Macaca fascicularis: one gene and its partners. The protein of the gene in region 4 interacts with the protein of the main gene of each other region in a pairwise test. Links are inferred from orthologs where the notes say so. Each region holds a gene or a part of one and is shown on either strand. Other genes may lie near its edges.

What was found.
Region 1: the proteins of ADRB2 (region 4) and KCTD13 interact in a protein complementation assay, tested with the Homo sapiens proteins (2 studies listed by BioGRID and IntAct, with this or other methods). The link is inferred for Macaca fascicularis from reciprocal best matches to the Homo sapiens genes ADRB2 and KCTD13.
Region 2: the proteins of ADRB2 (region 4) and VAPA interact in a protein complementation assay, tested with the Homo sapiens proteins (2 studies listed by BioGRID and IntAct, with this or other methods). The link is inferred for Macaca fascicularis from reciprocal best matches to the Homo sapiens genes ADRB2 and VAPA.
Region 3: the proteins of ADRB2 (region 4) and GPR37 interact in a protein complementation assay, tested with the Homo sapiens proteins (2 studies listed by BioGRID and IntAct, with this or other methods). The link is inferred for Macaca fascicularis from reciprocal best matches to the Homo sapiens genes ADRB2 and GPR37.
Region 5: the proteins of ADRB2 (region 4) and SLC52A2 interact in a protein complementation assay, tested with the Homo sapiens proteins (2 studies listed by BioGRID and IntAct, with this or other methods). The link is inferred for Macaca fascicularis from reciprocal best matches to the Homo sapiens genes ADRB2 and SLC52A2.
Region 6: the proteins of ADRB2 (region 4) and ARRB2 interact in binary tests that used the Homo sapiens proteins (3 or more experiments, as listed by UniProt). The link is inferred for Macaca fascicularis from reciprocal best matches to the Homo sapiens genes ADRB2 and ARRB2.

What each region holds. Positions count from the first base shown.
Region 1 is NC_088394.1:28,174,894-28,178,902, forward strand, and holds the start of KCTD13 (BTB/POZ domain-containing adapter for CUL3-mediated RhoA degradation protein 1), read left to right. Parts: upstream 1-1,209; 5' UTR 1,210-1,391; coding exon 1,392-1,635; intron 1,636-4,009. UniProt on the Homo sapiens protein: Substrate-specific adapter of a BCR (BTB-CUL3-RBX1) E3 ubiquitin-protein ligase complex required for synaptic transmission.
Region 2 is NC_088392.1:78,262,599-78,266,618, reverse strand, and holds the start of VAPA (vesicle-associated membrane protein-associated protein A), read right to left. Parts: upstream 2,801-4,020; 5' UTR 2,576-2,800; coding exon of another isoform or gene 2,497-2,575; 5' UTR 1,491-2,496; intron 1-1,490. UniProt on the Homo sapiens protein: Endoplasmic reticulum (ER)-anchored protein that mediates the formation of contact sites between the ER and endosomes via interaction with FFAT motif-containing proteins such as STARD3 or WDR44.
Region 3 is NC_088377.1:166,334,157-166,336,313, forward strand, and holds part of GPR37 (prosaposin receptor GPR37), read right to left. Parts: intron 132-2,157; coding exon 1-131.
Region 4 is NC_088380.1:155,832,448-155,835,160, reverse strand, and holds the end of ADRB2 (beta-2 adrenergic receptor), read right to left. Parts: intron 1,414-2,713; coding exon 1,283-1,413; 3' UTR 501-1,282; downstream 1-500. UniProt on the Homo sapiens protein: Beta-adrenergic receptors mediate the catecholamine-induced activation of adenylate cyclase through the action of G proteins. The beta-2-adrenergic receptor binds epinephrine with an approximately 30-fold greater affinity than it does norepinephrine.
Region 5 is NC_088382.1:154,040,982-154,045,101, forward strand, and holds SLC52A2 (solute carrier family 52, riboflavin transporter, member 2), read left to right. Parts: upstream 1-1,320; coding exon 1,321-1,509; exon of another isoform or gene 1,510-1,807; intron 1,808-1,923; exon of another isoform or gene 1,924-1,927; coding exon 1,928-1,973; exon of another isoform or gene 1,974-2,033; coding exon of another isoform or gene 2,034-2,163; intron 2,164-2,265; coding exon 2,266-3,133; intron 3,134-3,230; coding exon 3,231-3,354; intron 3,355-3,439; coding exon 3,440-3,652; 3' UTR 3,653-3,911; downstream 3,912-4,120. Other genes in the region: FBXL6 (F-box/LRR-repeat protein 6), read right to left, coding at 196-259, 386-544, 789-1,192. UniProt on the Homo sapiens protein: Plasma membrane transporter mediating the uptake by cells of the water soluble vitamin B2/riboflavin that plays a key role in biochemical oxidation-reduction reactions of the carbohydrate, lipid, and amino acid metabolism.
Region 6 is NC_088390.1:4,804,906-4,808,949, reverse strand, and holds the start of ARRB2 (beta-arrestin-2), read right to left. Parts: upstream 2,801-4,044; 5' UTR 2,778-2,800; coding exon 2,644-2,777; intron 1-2,643. UniProt on the Homo sapiens protein: Functions in regulating agonist-mediated G-protein coupled receptor (GPCR) signaling by mediating both receptor desensitization and resensitization processes.

The DNA of each region.
Region 1 (4,009 bases), on a different chromosome or scaffold from region 4:
TTTCCTCTTTTACACCGCCACACTCAAAATCAGAATTGGCAACCCCTTTGGTAGAACATGAGCTCCTGGTCACTATAAGCCCACTTATACCCAGTAACGGGCCTACGTCACTCATTTACACTCTGACCTCTCTCCTGCGAGGTTGGTGATTGCACCAACCACGCCCAGAGAAAAGTCACTCTTCCAGCATCTCCCAGGGACCTGCTGGCAGGGCTGAAGATAGAACTCTGACTCTGTGTTTTCCCTCCAGCAACTTCCCTTGCTAGACATTGAAGTGGATTGTTAAATCCCTGACGTATCGGCTTCTAAACTGGATGCAGATAGGGTCAGATAAAAACACTTCTCAGTGCACCTTCTTGTCAACAGTGGGTTCCTATCTTTTCTTCTTTCTTTTGGGATTGGGTGCTAGGTCCCATGACATTAGCTAGGATTCTAAGACCTTTGCTCAGCTGCTGCTGCCACCACTGACACGCACTCTGCTCCTCAAATACGGAGAGCGTGTTCCTGCCTTGAGGATCTTTGCATTTGCCTTCCCTCTGCTTGGAACTCTTCCCTCACATCCGCTTCCTAGCTTCAGCTCGGCATCACCTCCTCAGAGAGGCCTTCTATCCTTGGTGCCCGGGCACCACTGCTACCCCTTTTGGCTTCTTTTTTTTTTTTTTTTTTTTTAAAGGATGCTATGTTGCCCAAGCTGGAGTGCAGTGGTCCGATCATGTATTAACTTCAGCTTCCAACTCCTGGCTTCAAGCGTTCCTCCTGCCTCGGCCTCCCGAGTAGCTAGGCTTACAGACTGGGGTTACAGGTGTGAGCCACCGCGCCCGGCCGCTTTGGCCTCCTTTAAGAGCTTCCCTCCGCGCTTTGTTCCAGTTCTCGTCACGGTCTGTTCAGTGCGCGGGGTTGGGAGGCGGGAAACTGCCCAATGCCCAGACCTCACGGTCTGTTTCTCCTCAAGCTCGTGAAGCTCTCTGACAGCAGAGACCCAATCACGAGGCGGAGACTTAGCCTTCCACATCGGCCAGCGGGTCGGCCGCATCCTCGATCTGGTCTTGGGGACTCGAGACCAGAGGGAAGAGCACGTCGACCCGCCCGGGGGACCTTAGGGCCACACGCCACCTATCCACCGGCTTCCCCAGCAAGCCCACTGCGCATGCTCCATACTCCAGCCCCGTCCCCATTCAGGGGCGGGCCGCGCCTGCGCAGCTACCCGGCACTGGCTTCCGGGTGGTGCGAGCGAGATGGGGCGGAGGGCCGGTCTCGCTGAGTAGAGGCGGTGAGTGGGCGTGTGCGCGGAGCGGTCTGGCCCGAGGGCTAGGGGCTGGCCGAGGGTCTTCGGGAGCAGGTCGCAGGGCGCGGAGAGAGCCTGGGATCGCCGTCTGCCGCTGCTACCCGGTATGTCGGCGGAGGCCTCGGGCCCGGCGGCCCCCGCGGCCCCGTCCCTGGAAGCCCCCAAGCCCTCGGGTCTCGAGCCTGGCCCCGCCGCCTACGGTCTCAAGCCGCTAACCCCGAACAGCAAATACGTGAAGCTGAACGTGGGCGGCTCGCTGCACTACACCACGCTGCGCACCCTCACGGGACAGGACACCATGCTGAAGGCCATGTTCAGCGGCCGCGTGGAGGTGCTGACCGATGCCGGAGGTACTAGCGGCGCCCCCACCGTGCCCCCATCCCCAGATCCCCAACTCCCGTTCCCCTCAGTCTCTCACCAACGGGGCTCCTCATGCCCCTTCTCTCTGCCCGCTGCTGTCCCGTCAACTCATTCTCAGCTCCCTCCAGCCCCGACATCCCATCTTCTCGCCTTTTCTCATTCATAATTTCTCTTCTCCTCCCCCAATCCTTTACCCCCAGCAATAACCAACACTTACGGAACCCCTAACTCTGCCAGGCGCTGTGGTAAGTGATTGAACGTGTCAGTTCATAATCCTCATGACTACCTCTCCCACCCTTCACGTCTCAGCTCAAGACTTGGGAACCAGCCCTGCTGCCTGCAGTACTACTCCTGGCAGCCTTCATCAGTTTCCTCCGACCGCCCAGCCTTTTGTTTCCCTCTCTGCTTCAGAACTGCTAACAACCAGCCAGGAGGGCTGGGAGATCTTGTCTGCCTCTGTGTTCCCCTGACACAGGTCCCTGTACGCTCTAGGAATCCATCTGTATATACACATTGCAGAAGGAGGCTGCTTTGGGTTTGCCAGGGACACCAGAGTGGAGGGTGGACAGGTGTCCTTGGCAGGTGAACCTTACCTTCTTGGAGTGTTGTATTCAAGTTTGGACCCTTCGTGCCCAAGTGAGACCTTGAAGTTTTGGAGTTTGGGAGTGGGAGAGTCTTAAGGGAGGGGTTAACAAGGACTGTGAGAGCAGTAGAATAAAAACTTGGGAGGCGGAGATCTGCCTTCAGGTATCAAAGGTGAAGAATTCGGCCAGGCACGGTGGCTCAAGCCTATAATCCCCGCACTTTGGGAGGCCAAGGCGGGTGGATCACCAGAGGTCAGGAGTTTGACACCAGCCTGACCAATATGGCGAAACTCCGTCTCTACTAAAAATACAAAAATTAGCCGGGCGTGGTGGTGTGCGCCTGTAGCCCAGCTACTTGCGAGGCTGAGACAGGAGAATCGCTTGAACCTGGGAGGCAGAGGTTGCAGTGAGCCGAGTCGGCGCCACTGCACTCCAGCCTGGGTGACAGAGTGAGACTCTGTCTCAGAAAAAAAAAAGGAAGAATTCATTTGTCCAATGAGTATTTGTAAAATATCAGTTAGTGCTGGAGATAGGTAAATGAACCTGACAAAATTATATAACTTCCCTTTTTTTAGGGAGGTGAGAGATCGGAAGACCAATAAGCAAGTAAACAAAATGTATATGCATATGCAATTGCAGATAGTAGTAAGTTCTTTCTTTTTTTTTTTTTTTTGATAGTAAGTTCTATGAAGAATATAAAAGTTAAAATGGCAGTGAACTGGACGGGGGAGGTAGACATTTTAATTAAATAGAATGGTGAGAATTAGCATCGGGGGTTAGCGGTTTATTGATAAGGTAATTCTGCAAGAACTTTCTCGTGGTGAGAGTCTTCTGACTGTAGACCAGATTTGGATGAATTAATTCTCTGGCTGGATATGTATAAACTTATGAGAGAACTCGCTGGAGATGTTTTAAAGAGATTTCTTGGCTGTGGCACAGGCTTGAGACAGATCAGTATTCAGACTTTTTTGTGGCTTTGGAATCCTTTTTCTTTTCTTTTCTTTTTTTTTTTTTTTTGAGATGGAGTTTCGCTCTTGTTGCCCAGGCTGTCTCGGCTCACCACAACCTCCGCCTCTCAGGTTCAAGCGATTCTCCTGCCTCAGCCTCCTGAGTAGTTGGGATTACAGGCATGCGCCACCACGCCTGGCTAATTTTGTGTTTTTATTAAAGACGGGGTTTCTCCATGTTGGTCAGGCTGGTCTCGAACTCCTGACCTCAGGTGATCCGCCCACCTCGGCCTCCTAAAGTGCTAGGATTACAGGCCTAAGTCACCACGCCTGGCCTTCTTTTCTTTTTCTTTTTCTTTTTTCTTTTTATTGTTTTGAGACGGAGTTTCCGTCTTATTGCCCAGGGAGTGCAATGGCGCGATTTCGGCTCACTGCAAACTCCACCTCCCAGGTTCAAGCTGTTCTCCTGCCTCACCCTCCCAAGTAGCTGGCATGCGTCACCAAGCCCAGCTAATTTTGTATTTTTAGTAGAGATGGGGTTTCTCCATGTTGGTCAGGCTGGTCTCAAACTCCTGACTTGAGGTGATCTACCCGCCTCAGCCTCCTAAAGTGTTGGAATTACAGGTGTGAATCACTACACCTGGCTGGAATCCTTTTTTCTTATAATTTAGGCCAGGTTTGGTGGCTCACGCCTATAATCCAAGTGTTTGGGAGGCTGAGATGGGAGGATCACTTGAGCCCAGGAGTTTGAGACCAGCCTGGGCAACATAGTGAGACTCCGTCTCTACAAAAAAATAATTTTTAATTTAGTAGTTCCAGGTCACTCAGCAAAG
Region 2 (4,020 bases), on a different chromosome or scaffold from region 4:
AAAGTCCTTCACTTAAAAAGAAAGTTTTGAATGATTTAGGATAAGTCAGTTAAACGATTTTTTTCTATCACAAACTAAGCACAAGTAGACTGTAGATTCTAAATGAGTCTCCTCAGTGTTGAGCTGTGCACTTAAATACACAAAGGTTTCCATCAAGCAAACAATTTACCTTTGACTAAAAAAATAATATTAAGGAACCAGACACCAAATGTCACCTCCCAATCCCCCCCATTATCTCCGTCTTTAAACTGAAACACACAACAAACTATTGGGCATTTAAGTACCAGGCATTCTCTCACAGCAGTGTGTTTACTCAACCACTCTCTTGGCCTAAATCTCCCCTGAAATGAAAAACGAGCCTTTTCCTTAAAAATTTCCTAAGGGAGGGATGGGGCACGTAGAGAAGGCTTCTTTCCTCAGACAGGGTTGAGTCTCTGTTATACCATCTATATACCTTTTCTGTTTCCCTGGCTAGTCTTATCATTTTTACTGGCAACACAAGAACAACGTGTTCTATAATCATAGCTGTAATTCTCCAATACCCCCAAAAAAGGAAATATAAGAGTAAGTCACTGTGTAGGGTTTTTGCTTGTTTTTTTAAACCTGCTTCTCCACTATTATTAGTCTCTTACTATAGCAACATAACAACTTCCCTAAGGAGAAAAAACTTCAAACTGCGGACATTTCCTGGCCTAAAACTGTCCTAATGGCAACTTACACATACTTATAAGTCCCTAATGGCAACTTACACAGTTATCCAGTAGAGGAAATGTTCACTGTAAACACGGCCAATCAAAAGATAAAAACGAAATATTAAAAAACACATCATACAGGCTTACATTAAATTATCTCGAGATAATGGCTGAGTTAGGACTTTTCATAATTCCTCAAAGGTTTTCCCCCAGCTAAAACTACGTAAAAAAATCACACAACTTACATAAACTTGCAAAAAAATACATTCACTGCACCTTGTCTTAAAACCAAATCCTTACCCAACAAGTAGCTCGCTTACACTTACTTCTATTCAAAGAAATTTGTAAATGCACTAAAAAGCTTGCAATGTAGTTACGCAATATTAATCTCATAATTCCAGAATATATTTTAAATTCCTAAAACTGAAGTTTTTCCTATGGAAATAATGTAGTTGGTCTTCTCTTGGACTCAACCTCACACAACAATAAAGGATTTAACTTTTTCTTTTAGCACTAGAATTGCTATGCACCTCACAAAAATTGTTCTCATTCAACAACTGAAATACAAGACATAGACTTCCAAAACGGGCCTCACTTTACACTTAACTGAAGATAGGAAGAAACCTACTTTCTATCAGATGTTCACACTCTTTCAGTATTCCTTAAGAATACAGAAGAAAAAAAAAAATCTGTACAGTTTTACTCTCTTTCCTAAAGTACAACACAGATCGACTAAGGAAAGGCACCAAACAGCCCCTGGGATTCTTCCAGGATCACCAAGTCAGACTAAAAACTTACCACAGGCAGCGCTACAAAATAAAAACCTACAAAGCTCCAGAGCTGGGTCACACCTTATCAGGCCTCTCAGGATCTGTCGGCAACCGCAAACGTAAAAGCAAAAGTCACACGCACTGAAGGTTTCTCAGCAGAGGAGCGCAACCGAAGGGCTAAATAAAAGCACGCGGGTGGCACACTGAAATGTCGTGGAAGGCAGGAAGCCCCGCTTACTATGAACCTACAACTCTCCGCTCGCAGCTGACGCATCGCTGCTGCCCGCACGCGCCTGGGTCCGTGCCAACAGCACCGGGCAGCCCTCGCCAGGCACCTCCAGGGCTTCTCCGCCTCCCCGGCGCGCCCTACACCTGATGGCCGAGTTCTAAGCCGGGCGGAAAGGTGAGAAACGACGCGCTCCGCGGAGCCCGAGGGCCGGCTGCTCCCAGCTCTGCCCGGGCCGGGGCAGGGGCCGAGGGGCGGTCTCACTCCCGAAGGGTCCCGCGCCGCGCCCTGGCCTCCCCGCGCCGCTGACAGCCGGGAGCGGGCGACGGACGCAGCTTGCGCCACCTCCAGAGCCCACTCCCCGCCGCAGCCCAGAGCGCACGCCCGCCGATGCCCGCCGATGCCCACCCGCCCACGCCCCGCCGGAGCACGCCATCGGCCTCGGGGACCAGGGACGCGGGCCCGGGCGGACGGCGGCTCGGGCGGGACCGGACACCCAGGAGGCGCCCCCCCGGGACCGCAAGATGGCGGCGGCGGCGGCCGCGCCAGGGCCCGGCTCCCGTCCGCCTCGCCCCGGCCGGCGCGCGCACCGCAGCGCGGGCGGGCGGGAGGGGACGAAGCGGGCCGGAGCAAGGGGCAGGCCGGCCGAGGCGGCGGCGAGGCAGCAGCCGGGAGAGGGCAGGCGCCGGGGCGTGGGGGAGGGGGCGCTCCCTCTGGCCGGGGCGGCCGAGTTGTCCTCCGCGCCCCCCGCCGCCCGCCAGCCCTCCGCGCGCCCCAGCCAGCCCTGGGGTGTCCCCGTCCTGCCTACCTTTGAATTTGAGGTCTGTGGGCGGGTCGAGGACCAGGATCTGCTCGTGCTTCGCCATGGCCCCTGAGGCGGACGCCATCGGAGAGACAGCGCAGAGCGGGGGCGCGCCCGCGGCGGCGGTTTGCTGACTGGGGGCGGGGGTCGACGGCGGCTCGGCCGAGCTCTAAGACGAGGCCAGGCTCGCAGCTCCCGAGCCCTGACGCCTGTCGCTGTGTCGCCGGTTCGGTGGGCCACCCGCTGGGTCACCAGCTCCGGGTCTCACAACTGACTCAACCCCACACCAGCCGCCACGGCCACGCGCACTGCGATCCTCGGCGCCCCACGTGACGGCCTCTGCGTGCCTACGTGCGCGCCCCGGCGGCCAGGAGCCACTAGCGCTCGTCCCGCCCTCCAGGCCGGCCTAGCGCGGCGCGGGGCTGCTGCGCCTGCGCGCTCGCGGCTTGCCGCGGCCCCGTGCGCAGCCCAGCTGTCAAGGGAACGGGTGTGGAGGGAGGCGGGGCAAAGGTCCGCGGGGCCGACGCGATGCGCAGCGCAGGTCTGGCGGCGCAGTCCTCTGTCACCTTGAGCTGCGAGTACGGAACTAGAGAAACTGCTCTGGCAGCGCTTAACAGTCTTCCAAGTGGGAATGCCCAGTGGAAGGAACAAGAAGCAGTGGGGAAGGGCCCACTCACTACAACTCCCGGCATGCCTCCTGCGGGGCGGGGCATTCGCCGAGGGCCTGGCCCTTTGCGGCCCTGCGCGGCGCTTGCTGGGAACTGTAGTAACGGCTGTTTGTGGGCGGAAAGGCGAGCGAGGTCCGTTGGAGGCGAATGGGGTGGGGTTCGCGGACGCTAATTTTGGCTCAGAGCGCGTCTAGTTTGCGCTAGAAAAAAAACTTTTGAAGACTGAAACGAGGCCCATATGTTAGAAATATACTAATAAAATCTGCCCTGTGGAGAACAGGCTGGGGGGATGTGTCCGTTTGCTCTAATTCTATCCGTCCCTCTGTTGGCAGGGCTGCATTCCTTGTGGTATCCAATCCAGCCTCTCCTGGTTCCTGAGTTGTCTCCAGTGATGCAAAATCAGATAAGGAAACACACCTCGTCTAGGAAGCAAGGGGAAATATGACAAAGCACACAGAAGCTAGAAATAAAAGTCAAAATCTACACCATCGAACCCAATAACCTTCTTCAGTTTTGATTAATGATGGATCCAAACCAAAACAGTTGTCACGTTCACATGTTAGAAACGAAACCCATCTGCATCACTTATGATAGGCGGTAGTAAACTGAACCAAATGAGAAAAATCCCAGCAGCAAACTTGTTGACAAAACTTTAGCCGATTGCCACGGTAGTCTGGTACAGGAACGTCAAATGAAACCAATGTGCTGTAAATAAACCTTTATTGTATTTTATGATACGGTTTGAATTTAAATCCCTAGGAAGCTCCACGAAACAAAAGACATATTGATGCTAATGCTGTGGAGCAGCACAGTTTGTCTAGAAAATAAATGAGACGAAACAGCAGTCTAGATGTAGGCACCA
Region 3 (2,157 bases), on a different chromosome or scaffold from region 4:
ACAGCCAGTTTGGCAGTTGTTGAGGAACAGTTTTCGATCATTTCATAGTACATCTGTACGTTGGTGGCAGCACGGAAACGGTCTATGCACAGAGCACATAAGGTGAAAGTGGTGACTCCCAGAGAAGCGACCTGTGGGGGAACAGAGAAGACATTTATTCCCAGTGTCCCCTGAAAGATCAAAGCACTAGGGAATAAATGCAGACTGGCAAAACCGTAAAAAAAAAAAAAAAAAAAAAAAAAAAAAAAAAAAAGATAAATAAATAAAAATAAGAGAGAGAGAACAGTTTTCCAGAATGAGGCATGGGTAACTGGGCTCAGGACATCAGCTGAATCATTGTAAGCATAAAAATAGAAAACAAACTGTAGTGGGTTGAGGGTCATAGAGTGCAAAACATTTAGGACTGGAAGGATCCATAAAGATCAGCTAGTCCAATCCCTTTTTATTATAGATAAGAACCCAGATACACTAAAAATCTTATTCACCACGAAAGTGTCTGCCACTAGGAGAGCTAGATAAGGAGTCAGGGTAGTGCAGAAATTCCCATTTTCATTGCTGACCAGGATTCTCATGTTTTCCAGTGTGAGGGTCAGTAGTGTGCCTTACACACAGCAAATACCAAAGAGTTTATTGTCTCCGATGGACTAAATGATGAGAGGGCTCCTCCAATTTTTCCTAAATGCAAAATAAAGTATGACAGTATTATCTTCAAAGGCATACACTTACAGAAAACAAGAAAGGGAAATTCGCCAGAGGCCAAAATCAAAAAGGAAACAAATTTCAAACAGGCCAGAGACTCCTCCCTGTTCATGCTGCCTGTTTACCTTAGGGGCACCTGCCCGTCCTGGTGAGGGCTTCAAGTTAGTTTTAGCTAGAAAAATGGGGCAAGATGCCCAGGTACACAGGGGCAGGAAACAGAGCTGGGGCCAATGTGGGTGGGGATTGGGTCAAAGACTCCCTGTGAATTTGGAACTCCTCAAATGCTGACATCTTAAGAGGTGTAAGGAGATAATGAAGAAATCTGCCTATATGACAGGATTTGGGTCTGGATGAACTGGGGGGAAAGGAGGCAAAAAATGGCAAATTCTAACCAGGAGCCTGAACTTACATGGTGTTAGGATCAGAATTTCCAGGATCTATGTGGCTCAGAAAACCCAAAATACAATTTAAAATAATCCCAGGCACCTGGTAAAAATCAAACAAATCCTCTCTGGAAGAATGTACTTTAAAACCAGACCTCAAAAAATCCTATAGTTAAAATTCAAGGGACACAGGTTCACAAAATCAAAAGTCACAATATGCAAGAGACAATTAGCCACTATGAATTTATATGCCAGAGATACAGAATCAGACATAAAAAATATATTTATCATAAAATAGGTATGTATATCAAATTTAAAGAAATAGGAGATACTTCAGAAAATCAAAGAAAATAGAACCTGTAAAAATACAGGAAAATATGCAGAAAGTAGCCAAAAAGAATGTCTAGATATCTCAAACACAGGAAAATTTTGGAGCAGAAAACTCTTTGACAATAACCAAATGAAAAACTGTCTTCAAAAAGGCACTGTTCTTGTAAGCATATGGTCCAGACATCTAAAAAAGTCAACATTTAAAGGTTAAGAACCAAAAATATGTACCTATTTTTTTTCACATGGAGGCTTTCCAGGAATATAAACACATGTTCTTAATGTAAGCATGCTATCATTTCATTTACTTATAAAACATGTATTAAGCATTGTACATGTACTCAAATGGGGCAAACAGATACATATCCAACACAAGCATCCATTTATTGATATCAACTCCATGCCGAGCACTATGCTTGGTGTCGAGAAAATAGAAAGCTACAAGAAGCAGTGACTTCCCTCAAGCACATCATAGTCAACCAAGATGGGGACGATGGTTCTCAAAGTTACAACATGAACACAGCAATCACCTGGCAATATTAAAGCCACTTCAATATTTGGGGGAAAATTGAAGTAATTTAATATATAATAAGTGTAGTCATTATCTATGCATTCAAACAAGAACAAGGAGTAAAAGGTAAAATGTCAATAAGGTTTCAGATAAAATATGAGACTAAAAGAAAACTCCCTGGGTGGATGGAATGCTTTGGTCTACACCCCAGACAACTCGAATATATGCATTTGCTCT
Region 4 (2,713 bases):
TTGTGATATGCACCAAACAGATGGCCTGCATTCTCTGTAGGAGCCTACACAGCCCAGGTGCAGCTACCATCATTGAGGGCCCTGATTTGGTTGTTTCTCCAAAACTGGCCAAAGCTGCTAGCAGGTTTCTGTCCCATCAGCCACCAGCATGACCAGTGCCTGGTGCCTGGCACGAGGTGAATGGTTAATAAGCCTGAGTAGGATGAATGAATGAACTCCAGTATGTGAGGGAGTGGTGCCTGTGACCCCTGAAGGTGGAGCAGGTTTGGTTTCTTTTAGTATAAATATTTAGAATATGACCATGATTATAGTTTTTGGCAAGAGTGAATCACTTACTCATGGTCATGGCCTTGAACCTAACCAAACCGCCAGCCAGCACCAGAATAAACTGCACAGAACTGCTGGCCTCAACCAAAAGGAAACTGACTTTCTATTGACTCATGAGACAGGTCCGTTTTTTTTTTTCTTTCAAAAAATTTTTACAAACAGTACAATGTCTAGTAAATCTGACCAAACCAGATACCTCTATTTATTTTTTTCTAAAACCTTGAACTAGAACAAAATTAGACCCCACATAATCCTTATTTATAATATTACTCAATATGTGCAAATAGTAATGATGTTAACTAACATTCATAGGGCAATGCTATGTGTATTATCTCATGTATTCCTCAGACATACCTATGAAGTAGGTGCTGTTTTAATTCCCATTTTACAAGCGAGGAAAATTTGGCAGCTAAATAACTTTTGCCAAGTCACGTGACGATTAGAAGGCAAAGTGAGCGTTTGAATCATTTGAATCCAGGTCCACTTGATTCCCAGGCTGGTGCTCTCAGCTCTCTGGCTCTCCTGTGTCCTCAGCATCAGCGACGGCTGTGGTTTATTGGGCACACGTCGTGAGGCAGTCACAGGACTGAGCGTTCTTCGCACATGAGCTCGGTCAACCCCTCCGCAGTACTATCAGGAGGGTACCATTGTTAGCTCCATTTTAGCGATGAGGAAACAGGGATTTCATGAGATTGTGTAACCTGCCTGCCGTCTGTGGATGGTGGTGCTAAGCTCTTCATGTGGAGTGATAGAGCTCAGCAAGCTCCAGGGCAACAAAGAGTGGGGGACTTTTCCAATGTCATACAGTGAATCAGTGGTTGAGCTGGAACAGAACTTCACTGAAGACTTTCCATTCACTGCTAGGAGAGTGTTGTCGTTAACAGTGGGGGAGGGGCCTGCCATAAGGTCAATCTGCTGTGTCACTTGCTCTGGTGGCAGGAAAGAGTTTAGTGGATTAGAGCATATACTTTGAGTCATACAGATCTGTGCTCAGGGCCACCGTGGGAAAGAGCCTTCCTCTTCCTGGGCCTCTGTTTCTTCTTCTGTAGAATGGAACAATAACCATAGGCCTGCCTCTTGGGTTTGCTGGAGAAGTAAATGAGAGAACACACATTAAATGTCTGGCACAATGACTCTCATGCAGTTAACATGGAATAGCTGTTGTTGTTATGTTGTTGTTTATTGAAATGATTCATGATCCAAAAGAGGCTTGGAAACACTGCACCATATGGAGAAGACTTGAAATCCACTTCACAATGACTGATTTGTGATAGGAAGGAGATGTGAAGGCTGAAGAGCATCTATATACACAGGCACTTGGGACACACAAACACATACATGCTCCTGAAACCTGCACGCACATGTACTTGTGGCATATGTACACTCACACACACGTGCACACACATGTACATACAATATACTTGTACACACATGCTCACATGCACCTGCATATACTCTCACATGGACACACACATGCATGGACAATATACTCATGGCATCTATGGTTTCATACATGCATCTGCAACCTGCACACCCATGCACTTGTAACATACACATGCACACACAACATACTTGTGACATACATATGCTCTTACATATGCACACACATGCATGGACACATGCATCACACACAATACATTTGTAGCATACACATGCTTACATGCATATGCACACACATACACGCACACACATGCCCGTGCACACACATGCATGTGCACACACACTCATGTGCACACACACATTGCATGTTCCTTAGCCTGGTGAACACCTACACATCCTTTAGCTCTCAGCCCAAAGGTCACAGCTTTAGGGCAGCCACTTTGACCGAGGCCAGGACACTCAGGCTGAGCTATCTTGGCACCTAGCACCTCCACCTCTCATCCAAACTGTCCTCTCTCAGCCCATGGGTGCTTCAGTCCCAGGCTCTGTTACCATCACTCTAGGGAGCTTCAGGGGCCTCAGGGAACCTCCTCAGCTTGCATCTCATTGCATGTCATTGAATAATTGTAATAAGTTGCTTAATTCTACAATTCCTGCTAGAATGCCAGTTCTGTGAAAGGCAGGGATAAAGCTGACTCTTCTCCACAGATCAGAATCATTTGACGCAGACCGGCACATAGTATGTCTTCAATACATAGATGCCATTGACTGAACAGAACCACCAGGATCTCATTTGCATGCAAGCTGAAGAATAAGCTTATTCATATTGGGGTCACCCTACACAAGATATCTCATATGGGGATTTTAACCATGGGGTCTCTAATGATTTGGAGGCTCACCCAGAGGAAATCAAGCCTCAGAAAGCTGTAGAAATTGGTAAAAAAATAAAATCCAACTTTCAAATGCATTCCTAGTCACCAGGAAAACACATTTGGGGGAGAGACTG
Region 5 (4,120 bases), on a different chromosome or scaffold from region 4:
ATGTCAGGCCTACTTGGGTGTCCCCGCCTCTGACACCTCCCTGCTGGAGGAAACAGCAGGAAAGGAGAACCAGGCAGGCAGGCAGGCCTCCCGATGGAGCAGCGTTGGGCCCTCAAGGTGCCTGACCCACTTCCTAGAGTACTCAACAGTCCCAGAGGGTCACAGCTGGTGTGCAGGGCAGCCTGGAGCTCTCACCTTCAGCACGGGGTGTACCTGAGACTTCCAGTGGATGAGGGTCAGCCTCTGGAGCTGTGAAAACCTGGGCCGACAGCAGAGGCAGAGCTGCACTAATGTTCCCACACGAGTCCTTCCCACCCAACACCTTGGTGCAGGGAGACAGAAGGAGCCTGGAGCCAGGGGACAAGGAAAAGAGGGAACCCCTCACCGATTAGGCATAAGCCACTCCAGGGAAGCAAGAAGCTTCTTCTCCGCCTTGACCCCGCCCTTGGCAGGCCGGCCGGCCAGCGGGGACGACAGGGTCACGGTGTGCCAGAGCGCGGGTTGGGAAGCGGCCTCCTGCCAGCGGCGGCACACGCGCGCAGCCCTGGGAGGACAGCGTGCTGAGGCTGCCGGCCCCTTCGTAGGTGATACCCCCTCTCGCAGCGCAGTGGACATCCCGGCTCAAAGCCGGGCTCCTGGGACTCCAACCGGGCGCCTAAGGGGCTGCGCTCTCGGGCGGAGGGGTGCGCGCTCCGATGCTTTCGCCCTCCGCCCCCGCCCGGGCCACTGCTCGGACCACGTCTGGCCCAAGTCGCTGCGCTCGGCGACGGGCCCGGCAGCAGCGTTACCTGCCGAGGAAGGGCATGGGCCCGTCCGCCGCCACCAACAACCCGAAAATCTGCACCAGGATTTCCAAGGGAATGCGGTCTCCCCAGCCCGCGTCGGGCCCTTCCTCGGGCGAGGGCGCCGGGTCGGGCCTGAGCGTGGCCTTGGGCTTGGCCGCGGCGCGGCCCGGGGGCGGCTGCCGGGGAGTGCGGCGGGCAGCGCGGGGAGTGCGGCGGGCAGCGCGTCGCTGTGCGCGGGTCCGGGCGGGTCCGGGTTCGGACAGCACCAGCAGCATGCTGTCGGACGGAAGCAGGTGGTACCCCGAGCCGCTCGGCGCCAGCCGGTCCCACCACCAGTCCTCGGCCGAGCGGGCCCGCGGCGCTGCCCGAGCTCTGCGCCGGACCTTCCGGGAGGCCGGGGAAGCCATGACCACCGACGGCGCTTGGGGCAGCTCCAGGGAGCGGAACGGGCGGGGCTTACAGACTGACACCCCCCGACTCTTCTCTGCGCCCGCCCGCTGACCCGCTTCCGGGGCGGGACTTCCGGCCGTGGGCCATGCCGGGGGCGGGCCCGGAGTCGCGGCGGGTGAGTCTGGTGGTGGCTGCTGTCGGGTCCTGGGCTGTCTGGACTGAGGCGGCGTCCCTGGGCCGGACGGCGGCGTCCTGGCGTGGCGGGAAGCCGGCACTAGAGCGGGAGCGCACTGGGTGCGGGACCGGGAGGCGTAGAGTCGCCCATCTGAAGCTGGTGAGAGGGCGGCGCCCCTACGAGCAGAGCCGCCCCAGCCACTCCCCTGGGATCTGACTTGGCTCCTGCGGTCCCGGGCACCGCGAAGCCCTGGGGCGTGCTTGGCTCCTGCTGGTAGGCGCCCTGTCCCAGTGTCCGGCTTGGGGTGGTGGTTGCAGTGACTCCAACCCCGCCTCTCCCTGGAGAGGAGGGCTCCACTCGCTCCTTCGGCCTCCTCCCCTGGGGCTGCAGCGACTCGGGCCGGCTTCCTGCTTCCCTACCTGCCGGCGGTCCCGACGCTGGCGGGCGGTGCTGCTGGGTACGTTTTAGCCAATCCTCCCCATCCCCACTCCTGCCCGGGGCTCCCCCTGTTCCCTTGGTCTCACCCTGTTGATTCCGGTTCTGTATCCTGCCTATTTGTCTGTTTCTTTCAAGCTAGAAGAGGTCTTCAGTTCCCAGAAGAGCCAAAGCGTCTCTGGACCTAGGTGGGAAAAGAACTGGCTGTGACCTTTGCCTTGACCTGGAAGGGCGCAGCCTTGGACTGAATGGCAGCACCCACACCCGGCCGTCCGGTGCTGACCCACCTGCTGGTGGCTCTCTTCGGCATGGGCTCCTGGGCTGCGGTCAATGGGATCTGGGTGGAACTACCTGTGGTGGTCAAAGAGCTTCCGGAGGGTGAGTGGGAGGAGGTGCAGGTGTGCCCAGGAAGGTGGGCCCTGTCAGTTCTTCTTCCCTTGGGTATCATGCCCCTGACATGGTCTCCTCCCTTCCCTGCAGGTTGGAGTCTCCCCTCCTACGTCTCTGTGCTTGTGGCGCTGGGGAACCTGGGTCTGCTGGTGGTGACCCTTTGGAGGCGGCTGGCCCCAGGAAAGGGCGAGCGGGTCCCCATCCGGGTGGTGCAGGTGCTGAGCATGGTGGGCACAGCTCTCCTGGCCTTTCTGTGGCACCGCGTGGTCCTAGTGGCAGGACAGTCGCATTCCGTGGCCTTCTTAGCACTGGCCTTTGTGCTGGCGCTGGCATGCTGTGCCTCTAATGTCACTTTCCTGCCCTTCCTGAGCCACCTGCCACCTCGCTTCTTACGGTCATTCTTCCTGGGTCAAGGCCTGAGTGCCCTGCTGCCCTGCGTGCTGGCCCTAGTGCAGGGTGTGGGCCGCCGTGAGTGCCCACCAGCCCCCATCAACGGCACCCCCGGCCCCCCACTCGACTTCCGTGAGCGTTTTCCCGCCAGCACCTTCTTCTGGGCACTGACTGCCCTTCTGGTCGCTTCAGCTGCTGCCTTTCAGGGTCTCCTGCTGCTGTTGCCACCACCATCTGTACCCACAGGGGGCTTAGGATCAGGCCTCCAGGTGGGAGCCCCAGGAGCAGAGGAAGAGGTGGAAGAGGCCTCACCATTGCAAGAGCCACCAAGCCAGGCAGCAGGCACCACCCCTGGTCCAGACCCTAAGGCCTATCAGCTTCTCTCAGCCCACAGTGCCTGCCTCCTGGGGCTGTTGGCTGCCACCAACGCACTGACCAACGGCGTGCTACCTGCTGTGCAAAGCTTTTCCTGCTTACCCTACGGGCGTCTGGCCTACCACCTGGCTGTGGTGCTGGGCAGTGCTGCCAATCCCCTGGCCTGCTTCCTGGCCATGGGTGTGCTGTGCAGGTACACAAGGGCCCTTCAGCCCCTGTGCGGGTGGAACTCAGGGCTGGGAGCCAGGTCCTGGCACAGTCAGCCCTGACACTCTGCTCACTCTCTACAGATCCTTGGCAGGGCTGGGCGGCCTCTCTCTGCTGGGCGTGCTCTTTGGGGGCTACCTGATGGCGCTGGCAGTCCTGAGCCCCTGCCCGCCCCTGGTGGGCACCTCGGCAGGGGTGGTCCTCGTGGTGAGCACACGGGACGTGAAGTGGGGTGGGGGCGTTTTCGTGGAGCAGGCACATCTCACGCTCAGCTGCTGCTGTGTCCCCTCAGGTCCTGTCGTGGGTGCTGTGTCTTGGTGTTTTCTCCTACGTGAAGGTGGCAGCTAGCTCCCTGCTGCATGGCGGGGGCCGGCCGGCATTGCTGGCAGCCGGTGTGGCCATCCAGGTGGGCTCTCTGCTCGGCGCTGTTGCTATGTTCCCCCCCACCAGCATCTATCACGTGTTCCACAGCAGAAAGGACTGTGCAGACCCCTGTGACTCCTGAGCCTGGGCAGGTGGGGACCCCGCTCCCTGACGCCTGTCTTTCCCTCAACACTGCCACCATGCCTGAGTGCCTGCAGCCCAGGAGGCCCGCACACCGGTACACTCGTGGACACCACACACTCCATAGGAGACCCTGGCTCTCTGGGGCGGGGGGAAAGGGCAGGGAGCAGGCTTGGAGCCAGGGACCGGTGGGGGCTGTAGGGTAAGCCCCTGAGCCTAGGACCTACGTGTGGTTTGCATAATAAAACATTTTTATTTAATGAGTTGGCATTAATTCTTTGAGCATCTCTTTCTGTGTGGATGCTTCTGTGAACTAGAGCCATGGCCGGGCCTGTTTAACAGGGGCCACCTCTCCCCAGGCCCTGGGCAGGTCCTTACCCACCGCAGGCTGGTCTCACAGATCGTACAGTCATGGCCCTCTGAGCCCAGACTCCCCTACATTCCTTCTTGGAACTGCCCTGGGCTCTCT
Region 6 (4,044 bases), on a different chromosome or scaffold from region 4:
GGTTCATGCCATTCTCCTGCCTCAGCCTCCCAAGTAGCTAGGACTACAGGTGCCCACCACCACGCCCGGCTAATTTTTTGTATTTTTAGTAGAGACGGGGTTTCACTGTGTTAGCCAGGACGGTCTTCATCTCCTGACCTCGTGATCCGCCAGTCTTGGCCTCCCAAAGTGCTGGGATTACAGGTGTGAGCCACTGCGCCTGGCTGCTAATTTTTATATTTTTAGTATAGATGGGGTTTCCCTATGTTGGCCAGGCTGATCTCGAACTCCTGACCTCAAGTGATCCGCCCGCCTCAGCCTCCCAAAGGGCTGGGATTACGGGCTTGAGCCACGGCGTCTGGCCTGTATTTTGTAGTTTTTTAGTAGAGACAAGGTTTCCCCAAGTTGGCCAGGCTGATCTCCAACTCCTGACCTCAGGTGATGCACCCGCCTCAGCCTCCCAAAGTGCTGGGATTACAGGCGTGAGCCACCACGCCCGGCCTTAGGTTGCAGTGAGCCAAGATTGCGTCACTGCACTCCAGCCTGGGTGACAGAGCAAGACTCCATTTCAAATAAATAAATAAATAAAAAATAAAATAAAATAAAACTACCCAGTGATGGAGGTCCTAATGTCTCTATTTTCCAGGTGAGGAAACTGAGGCAGAGAGAGGTTAAGTGTTTTAAGGTCACAGAGAGAGTAAATGGTGGGAATTAATAGAAACCAAGGCGGTCTGGCTCCGAGTCCATCCTCTCAATCAATATTACACTATCCGTCTCTGTAGCTGGCATCAATAGTTTGTTCAATTGAAGGGTATTCGCTTTCCAGTTGCTGAAACAATTTAAGCCTGGACTCCACCCACTGCTGGGAGGGTAAGGAAGTGTTTGGCAATCCCAGTGATCTGGCCAATTGTGAGCCTATTCTTTGAAGCATCACCTTACTCCTTCCAATCCACTCTGCCTCAGCAGTGATCCCTGGAAAGGATCCTCAGATAGACAGCAGAACGTGAAATCCTGCCAACTAGCCCATCCCTCCTCCAACTCTACCACCCCATTCCCAGAGGACCCCAATGGGCAGGTTGCCGCAGTATCTGGGTAAGACTTAACCATCTTTCCATCTGGTCTACAGCTCTGACAGCTGGAGCATATAGGAGAGCAATGACTCTGGCCTTTGGCCCTAAATGGTTTCTACCATAGGCCCAGTTTCTGCTACAACTTCACTTGTCCCTTCTTCCCAGAAAGCCAAGCTGTCCAAAGATTATAAGGTAAAGGGTATGGAGGCTCCCAGGTATTCCTAACCAATAAAAGAGAATAAACATCGATACGGTGGCAGCTAGAATAAACATCCTATCTTTTGTCCCAACTTGGGGGCTGAGTGCTGTGGCATCATCCAGGCTCTCCCTCCCCTTTGCTTCTGGTTTTCCTCTTTGTCCCAGGGTGTCCTCCCATTAGGAGCCCTGGCACAGGGCTGTGACAGCCACAGTCAGTGGGCCAACTGCAGTGTGGCTCTGGGGCAACTGCCCTGGAGCAGCTGCAAGGCACCTGCCCTTTGGATCCTAACCCAGCCACCTCCTGCCAGGCTGAGGAGGAGCAGCGTGCAGATACTAGGCTGGCCAAGGAGGCAGAGTGTGGGGATGACCAGGGAGGTGCCCAATGGGGGCAGGGGTAGCTGAAGCAGATGTCCTTTCACACTTCCTGCTATTCTCTCCATTTCCTGTGGCCCAGAATTTGATGGAGGTGAGGGAAATTGGGTCAAGTCAGCAGTCCCCTTTGGTCCATCTGTCCCACTCCTTGAACCACATAACGGAAATCAGGGGCCTCCCACAAGGCAGCAACTTCCCCTTTCTCTGGGATGTTTAAACCCTAATCCAGGACACCGATCATCTCTCTGATGATCTCTTTCTGATACTCATCTACTTGACGCTCAGAAACCTGGGTTCTCCTACTCTATAGGTTGGAAGTGGGGTCGATATGATGCTTTGCAGAGCAAGCCAGAGCTCAGGACCAATTCCCTATTCCCGATCCCCTCTGGGTTGAGGCCTACAGCCCCAACCTTTCTGTCTTTTGCTCCTGCTCCCCTGGGACTCAGGCATTCACCCCTTACCCCTTGGGGGTGTTGAGTCACAACAGGAAGTGGATTTTGCTAGAGACCAAAAAAGAGAACTCGGGGTATCAGTGGAAGGAAAGAGCCTCGATTGCACAGAAAACATCCGGGGAGTGGACGCGCGCCCAGCGTGAATACTGCCTCCCCCACCCCCAGGGAGAGGGATCCGATCTAGTTTCAGGAAGGGTCAGGCTCTCCCAAGATGAAGCTGTTGTTGCTCCTGGCAACCCAGGGGAAGGTAGAAGTTTGGATGAGGAGCCACCCGGCCCTCGGGACAGGTGTGGGCAGCGCGACTACCTGGGGGATATTGGACAGGAGGCTTTGCATTGGCTTGGCACGAGTCTGGAGGGGATCCCCCTCCCAGCATCCAGCCTCCCCGTACACGACCCCTCGGGGCCAGCCACCTGCTCCTCCCTCCGTCCCTGCATCGCAGCCTGCCCAGACTCCTGGGCACGGGAGAGCCCAGTAGTCTGGCCCCACATCCCTGAGAGAACCCCGACACCGGTTTTTCTGATCCCCCTCCGGCCTCGCTTTCTGCAGGGGCCCGGGCATTTCCCCCCAACCTCATTATCCTCGAGGACCTGCGCGTGCGGCCCCGGATGGCTGTCCCTAGGGACCCAGGCGTCCGGCCCCCAGATCCTCTCCGCGGCGTCCTCGTCTGGGACCGTCCCAGCCCCCGCCCCGAGCCGCCGCCCATGCCCCGCCGCGTGGCCCCACCTCCCTTACCTGGTCCCGGGTTTCTCCCCCATGGTGCGCGCGCCCGCCGCCCGCTCGGTTCGCGGCTCGCTCGCAGCCTCCTCGCCCGCTGCCAAGATCCCTGCTCCTCCCCGCGCCAATGCGCACGCGCGCCCTCCGCGCTCTCGCCTCTTCCCCCTCCCTCCCGGCCCGGCTCTGGTCTGGGGGAACCGGGGCCAGATGCGTCAGCCGGATCGCGCGCGCCGCGGCGCTGCCCGCCCTCTCCTAGCAGACACACAGGGCCATTGGCTCCGCCCCCAACCCTTCGCGTTCCGTCCCAGCCGGGGAGCCCTCCCCCGCGCGCGGGGCCCGCTCCCGCTCTTCCCGCCCATCTCCCCGCCCCGCCGCAACCCCTTGAAACCGATTGGGCCCCCCTAAACCAAGGCTCCCGCCTTCCAGGGGATCTAAGTCTTTCGATTGGCCCTCGGCATCCAGAACCTTTAGGGGTCTCCTCCCCTTTGTTTGCTTTCTCAGTGGCGGTGGGGGCGACCGGGCTGTTGGGGGCGGTGGAATGAGCTGAAGCGCCGTCTGGGAAGGAGGATGGTGGGGGGGAACACGTGGGTGAGCAGTTCAATTGCGTGATACTTGCTTCAGTGCGCGCAGCTCACCTGCTCCACGCGGAGCGTACCGCCTTCTGTGGCCAGCCCTCCCGCTTCTTCACCGCAGCGTGTCAGCTCCTCCTGGTGTCTACATTTGATTTTCGCAGGGTTCCCTTTTCCAATGTCTCTGACTCTCCATCTCCTTCACCCACCCATCCCAGCTAACATCCACTCACTCACTCGCTCGCACCCATCGGTCCATCTATCGACCCACCCATCCGTGCCTATTTTATGCTATTTACTATGCCAATCGATGGGGACACATATGAATTACCATGGCCCCTGACTTCCTAGAATAGTTGAGGAGACACATACACAGGTATTACCCAGGAATGCTATTACAGAGGTCTGAGTCAGAAGACACAGCCACTAACAGCGCTCGGCCCGGGCGGGGGTGGAGCGGAGAACATATGAGGACAGTCTTTCTGAAGGATGTGCAGAAGTTTTTTTTCGTTTTCTTTTTTTTGAGATAGAGTCTCGCTCTGTTGCCCCGGCTGGAGTGCAGTGGCGCGATCTCGGCTCACTGCAACCTCCGCCTCCCAGGTTCAAGCACTTCTCTGCTCAGCCTCCCGAGTAGCTGGGATTACAGGCGCCTGCCACAATGCCTAGCTACTTTTCATATTTTTAATA